2 linked regions of the Coturnix japonica genome follow. The protein of the gene in region 2 purifies or fractionates together with the protein of the main gene of each other region. This does not show direct contact. Links are inferred from orthologs where the notes say so. Each region holds a gene or a part of one and is shown on either strand. Other genes may lie near its edges. The genes, in order: TGFBRAP1 and ACVR1.

Region 1 (3,000 bases), on a different chromosome or scaffold from region 2:
AGTTAAAGGACTTCCGTGCTGCTGAAGAATACTGTATATGGAACTCTGAGAACAGAGATCTACCGTACAGACGGAGGCTCTTCCATATGCTGCTGTCAGTATATCTGAATCCAGACACTTCGGATTGTGCACTCGTCACGGCTGCTGTAGATCTCTTGAATAACCACGCTGCTGAGTTTGATGCAGCTCTGGTTTTGCAGCTGGTGCCTGACAGCTGGTCAGTGCAGCTCCTCTCCCCATTCCTGGCTGGAGCGGTGAGGCAAAGCATTCATACAAAAAGAATGACTCAGGTTGCACTTGGGTTAGCACAAGCCGAAAACTTGATCTACAAATATGAGAAGGTAGGGTTTTGTTATGTTTTGTTTATAATAGAGGCACTTTGAAGTTTTAATACGAGTCTGAGGATTTAATTATAATCAGACACCTTAAGAGTGAGGGCAAAATTGACTTCAGGTCCTTGGCAATTCTAATTGCTACATTTATTACATTTTTGTGATGGCTACTATAGTCAATGTTATGCTCCTATTACACAAAAGGGGAGGTGGGGCTTTGAAAAAGGAACAGCTTTGAACTGAATGGAATGATGGAAATACATTTGGGATTTCCAGATTAATGAATTTCTTCCACAATTTTTTACCAACTGAGTTTTGTTTTCGTTTGTTTGTTTGCTGGGACTGAAGCATGTCAGAAGTTGCAAGAAAGCTTGCACAACACTTGGCATTAAAGCTTATTAATAGCTTTTGATTTTGTTAAATCCACTTGAGGAGTTTTTTTGTTATTATGTGGAGCAGTGTTAAAGATTTTTTGAGTATGATTAGATCTGTTTCCTTCTAATGAAGGTTTATCCAGCAAAATCTGTCTGCAGTAAGAACTCAGCAGTGCTCTGTTTGCTGTGGAGTTGTGTTCTTGTTTAGCAAGCTGTACCAGGTTTTCAGTTGCATTGAATGTGCCTTTCTGTGTGAAGCACAGAAACAATCTGGTATGGATACAGAGACTGAATTTCATGTTAAATAGTTCAAGCTACTTTTGCCATCAATTTGGTACATTTGAAATAATTCACAGGTGTAACCAGTGAAGTGTTGCTTTTTTTCTGCTGTATCTTAATTTGACTTCATTCATTAGTAAATACGTATTTGGATTTTTTTTCCTCCTTAGGTCAAACATAAAGGAACTCCAATTCTCCTTTCGGACAAAAAGGTCTGTCAGGTGTGCCAAAATCCTTTCTGTGAGCCCGCATTTGTAAGATACCCAAATGGGGGTATGGTCCACACACACTGTGCTGCAAACAGACATCTGAACTCAAATGTGACTCCTTGCTCTTCCAGCTCCAGCAGTGAGACTTGAAATATGTTCCAGGTTCCAGAGGTTCCCATGACTTATATCACACTGAAAGTGGACTGAAAAATTGAAAGAAACCAAGTGCAGCTACTTTAAGCATAAATCAAGATGAACAGATAGTTATTGGGTTAATGGGAAGACTTAAGTATAAAATATGGCCAATTGCCTCTCGGTTTCTAATGAATGTAAATAGAGGGGAAAAAAAATCACTACCAGAAATGGAGAGGTGCAAATATAGACTTCTGTATATAGTAATAAGCAGTCAAAGAAAGTGAGCCTTTTTTTCCACAGTGAGGACTAATGTTACGGAGACAAGGTAAACCATTATTTTCAGAAATGTCACTTTGCACTGAATGTGGTGTTGATACATTTGTAGAGGTGGAGATGGTATCTATTGGAGTAGGAATTCTTGGAGCATTGCACAAGACTGCCAACGTGCAGCTGACTGTCAGGACAGAAACACTTTGCTCATGATGTTTGCTGCAGCACATCCTCATTTGGGCTGGATTCTCTTCCCCAGGATCAATAATGAACGTGTTCTTTGCTCTACAAGTTGTTGGCTTTTGCACTTTTTCGTACTCTTATTTCCTTCCTCTCTCCTCTGCTGTATAGAATTTAAACTTAAGCGCTAGCCCGATAATTTTCTGCTCCTATCGTTACTGTAGTAAACTGAGTGGAAACTGATAGACTTGGTCACACAGCTGCGCGTGGATGAAGAAATGAAGTCAGATTACCTGGTCAGACTGTAGTCACTTTTTTATGGGAAAAGAAACTTTTAATATTGGTTTATTTATTAATATGCAAATATACTGTACATACAGTTGAATACATTTATCTTATATCATCATGGAGGATAAAGGATGTAGCTGATGTGGGAGTGTGTAGGTTATGTGCTTAAATGTTTGTTATAACTTAAGCAGACTGAAACTCAACAAGAATGGGTATTAATACCTGTGGATTACTTAGTGCAATCATGGGAAGGTGGCATAACTGGGAAGAAATCTTCTAAGGTGCACTACAGAGATATTGGATTTGTTGTGTTCTACAAAATGTTCTGTAAACTACAGTTTTCCAGACAGCAGCAAAACTTGTACTGAATAAGCACGATAAATCATTCAACCATTTTAAAGCAGTTGATGGGCTGCTTCCCACAAGAGAGGCTCAAAAACAGTAGCTCAAATAAAATAGTATTTCAAAGTGAAAGCTCAATGCAGCTGAGAGTGCCAGTAGAGCTGATTACTGCTTTAGTGTTCCAAACCAGAGCTGAGTCTTTCAGCAGGGCAGGTTATTTGCGTGGTAGCATCTGGATGTGGGCTTGGAAGAGATCTCCTGTTACAGAAACATCGGCTTATGGAACAGCTTTTTCAACACCAGAAATGGGCAACCAAGACTACATGTGGGGGGGTTGGAGGGGAGTATCCATTTCTTTGTCTTGAAAGTAAAAGTCATTTGGATCTTTGCTGAGTCAGAATTCAGTAGTGCTGTTGTATTGAGTTTTAAAGAAAGTAATTAAGTTTTGCAGCTCCTTCTGCTCAGACATGAAAGACAAACTTAATGAAAAGCACCTTCCGAAAGGCGTTCTCTCATTTCTGAGTTGTGGTACGAGTGATCCTCCTGTGTAGCCTTGGTATGAGCAGGTTCTGTGTCTCATATTTCTGATTT
Region 2 (3,823 bases):
GTCCAAATTCTTTTCCTATTATTCAGGCATGGATCAACGCAGTATATGCAGCCAATCGTATTTTTGGCAAGTCATGTCATTAAAATTAACAGTGACAGTGCAAGTAAGGAATGCAAAGAATTCCTAGTGCAATAAAGAAGAGAAGCACAGGCAATATTGCTGATTAAAATTACCACTTCCGCGTGTTCACCCTGGGAGTGATTAGGAGAATTTAAAGATAAAACAACCAAAAAGGGGGGGGTTGGGGAGGGGGGGGGAAGCTGTTCAAAGCCATTATTTAATGCCCTGATCTTGTCTTAGGATTTCTCTGTCTTCCTTCAGGCCACTACCTTTGCAACAGTACATCCAGCATGAGTCTTTATAGCTTGACCGTTTGTGAAATGCCCACTGCAGTCACTGAGCAAAGTCCATATGGTTCCGGTGTCTCCCAGATGGATGGCTTGGTAGGAGCTGCTGCCTCTGTAAGAAGCCACATGGGGACCGACTACACGAACTGCCTGGCTGGGCTGCCTCTGAGCCAGACACGTGCCTTCCTGTCAGGAAAGCACCACAAGAAGAAGGTCAACAGTCAGCTTTCAGTTTATCTAAGGAATTATCGATTTTGGTCAAAGTCTTTTTGATTCGCAGGGCTGTTAGTCGTGCTGATGGATTCTGATACCAGCATTCTTTCATCAACTTGGCAAGAGATGTTAACGTCTGGAAAAGAATAACAACAAAACACACATGTAAGTACACAAATCACAAGCCAGAACAGCAATAGGTTGGGCCCTAACACAGAATGGCTTTACCACCTTACGCATCATCTATTAGGCATTTCAAATAGACCAGTTTTTGAGTGCTGAAAAGTAGAGTTTGATAATTAAAGAGAATAAGTGACTCAACAATGGGCTGACTGCGGTGTCGAACCATCACAACTTTAGAACAGTAGTCTGAGGGGTCCAGACTGACTGTGGTGAAGGAAAACTTCAAGCAGCAGTCGCCTTTCAGAGAGAACTGTCCCTTATCATGGAGGCAGGGGAATCAGAGCACTGCTCCAAGTCTGTGTGCTTATGAGCCACAGAAAGGCCTAACAGGCTTCATTTCCCCCATGTACACCCTCCCTTGGAAAGTGAGTAATAACAAAGGAAGAGTAGCGTGAAAACAATTATTAATTCTTACTACTGAAGGGCCAGTGTGAGAATAGCTCAGATTTAACAGTCTGCTCATCGAGTTTTCTTCCTTCTGTAACATCAAGGTGCACACATAGATGGGTCTGAAACCTATGCTGGCAAGTAGCACTGAGATGATCTCAGCTTCAGATGGTTATAGGAGCAGTTCGCATGGCTTCAGGTCAGGAGAGGGGTCAGCTTTTACAAACCATACACCGGAACGTCTACTCACAGGGTCTGAGAACCACCTGTTGGGAATGTTTGGCCTTTGCTGATCTACACAGACCACTTTCCTCATGTCTTCAAAACTGGGATCATTGGGAACCAGGTCATAAAACGGTGGTTTATAGTCTTCTACAATACCTAGTGAAATACAACCAAGAGAGGCATTATTAAATGGCTGTCAGTGAAAGAGCACCTCTGCAAAGCCAGCATGTGTGAACCAGCCACCAGAGAAGCACAAAAATACCTGTAAGACTCCACACTGCCGTGCTAAACAGTCACTAGAAAAACAGAATAGCACTTACTATCACGGCAAGAGTTTCTCCTACCATGCAGCAAAATTAAAAGCTATATCCATTTTGGAGATGCCTGAGCCAAAATAAGAGGTAAATCTACTTGTTGGAAAGTCGTCTTTCATAAGGCATGGAGGTTTACAGGCTACCAGAGAACTGAGATATCTAGTAGAACAGCACAGAATTTCATCATCTGCACTGTTGTTTCCAATAGGGTTGACACGCTTTGTGCTGTTCCATGCATCATGAAAGAGTCCCATATGGATGTCAGCATCTACTGACCCTCACGCCGGTGCTTCGCATAAAATCATTTCTGCTACTAACACAGTAAAATGCTTAGGGTAAGTGGCAACGCACATCTTCAGGTATAGGCTTTGCTATGGTATCTGAATGCAGTTTCCAAGATTCTGCTTTGAAAAGTGAGTAAACAAGAAGTTAATGCGTGTTCTCTCCACTTGTCCCCAGGTTACATAAGAGCAGCCTGCTGAAAGTCTTTTGCCTCCTCACTCTGGCATGCGTGCAGCACTGCCGCTGTTGTGGATTAAGCTCATCAATGACCCAGGGAGCTCAGCTTTCTTCAGAAGCCAGTTTAAAAACTGGTGTTTCAAGTTAGTTCGGAGAAACAGTGAGCAAATGAAGTCCTCTGTGTACAGCAGAAGCACAGACAGAACAAAGCTAGAACTGCTTTTTAGCAGCCTGGCAGCTGGTCTATAATCAGATACACACAAAATTCAGGATACTTTTTACTTCAAGTTATACTTGAGCAGAAAAAACAGTTCTCCAACATTTGCTACAGTGCTTGTTGGGATTTAGTGCTCTTGTTCTGTTGAAGACTAAGATCAAAATCCCACAGACACTCAGCAAAAGTCTGTAAATCTCCATATCTGTGGACTGGGCTTCAGCAAATCCTAACTCACCTGGGAAAGAGCTCAAAGACCTGGCTGTCCAAGGGACGTCCCAGAACACAGCCACTACCAGCCCACAGGTTTGCCACGTGTGCTCACAGCGAGCCATGCATGCTGTGTGTGCCACATTCTGTTTCCAAGCAACTTCTAACTAACTGCATATACTGAACATCACCTAGAGGGCTGAACTTTGGTCATGTCCTCCTTCTGCATCCTCTCAGAACACAAAATGAAGTCTGTGAGAATTTAAGAATACAAAAAAGCTCTTTTGGGTCTGTATCACTTGAAATGGAAGCAGCGGTTTGACACCATTCACAGGCAAACCCTCAGAGCTACACAGTACAGTCCTGAAGGTGCTGCCAGTGCCATTACAATATCAGATTATCACTGAGCAAGTCCAGCTCTGTTTCAGTTTCCTATGCTCACATAAGCATTCCAACCAACAACATACAGATGGCTATTTGAGGTACGGCACAGTATTAGAACACAAAGTCAACATGGTCTTGCCTTTACTCCAACAGAGTAACTGCGGAGCCCCTAATGCTCCTGGGGCAGCTGCTGGCTGCAGCAGCTGGTTGGCACAGCCACCAAGTGCCACCTCTCACCCACACGCCTCCTCCCAGCAAGATCGCTGTCCTGAACTGTGGCACATTTCCCTCTCTCACTTCCAGAGGAAAGGAAATGAGCCTCTTACTACAAGAGGCCCCGCTAAGCACAACCTACAGCTCTCCATTTTCTGGACAGCCTTAACGACTTCTGTCACTGACAACACCCTACGCTTCTCTCTCTGGAAGAGCTGATTTTTGCTAACCAAATGCAATGGAACTCTCACAGAGCAGCAGTTTTTTTCAACTTTATCCTCTGTTACTTGCATGAAGGCTTATCTTGTATGTAGAAATGCACTGTGGAGCAATACAGGACCTCCACAAACCCCAAAGCTGCAGGTACAGCCCTGCAGACACAACACAGACCACATGCCATTGAGCAGCAGCCCTTCCAAGCTTGGTGTCTCACATCAACATCGAAGATGATCACATTATTGGGAATGACAGCTAAGACCTAAGGAACAGACTGCACTGCAGAGGAAGTACATTCTACAGCCATGAGTAACCACTCTGCAGTGAGCAAGCACTGCTCTATTGGCATAGAGTGAAACGCCAATGAGGGGGCTCAGATCACATTTACATGCACTGAGAATTGCTGAGGGGCTCCTGCTGCAGCACAGAGACAGCACAGAAACACTCTTGGTTGTGGA

The links.
Region 1: the proteins of ACVR1 (region 2) and TGFBRAP1 purify together in Homo sapiens (co-immunoprecipitation; 3 studies listed by BioGRID and IntAct, counting the BioPlex papers as one, with this or other methods). This does not show direct contact. The link is inferred for Coturnix japonica from reciprocal best matches to the Homo sapiens genes ACVR1 and TGFBRAP1.

Annotation. Positions count from the first base shown.
Region 1 is NC_029516.1:121,837,547-121,840,546, reverse strand, and holds part of TGFBRAP1 (transforming growth factor-beta receptor-associated protein 1), read left to right. Parts: coding exon 1-341; intron 342-1,155; coding exon 1,156-1,344; 3' UTR 1,345-3,000. UniProt on the Homo sapiens protein: Plays a role in the TGF-beta/activin signaling pathway. It associates with inactive heteromeric TGF-beta and activin receptor complexes, mainly through the type II receptor, and is released upon activation of signaling.
Region 2 is NC_029522.1:29,815,374-29,819,196, reverse strand, and holds part of ACVR1 (activin receptor type-1), read right to left. Parts: intron 1,512-3,823; coding exon 1,381-1,511; intron 697-1,380; coding exon 562-696; 3' UTR 1-561. UniProt on the Homo sapiens protein: Bone morphogenetic protein (BMP) type I receptor that is involved in a wide variety of biological processes, including bone, heart, cartilage, nervous, and reproductive system development and regulation.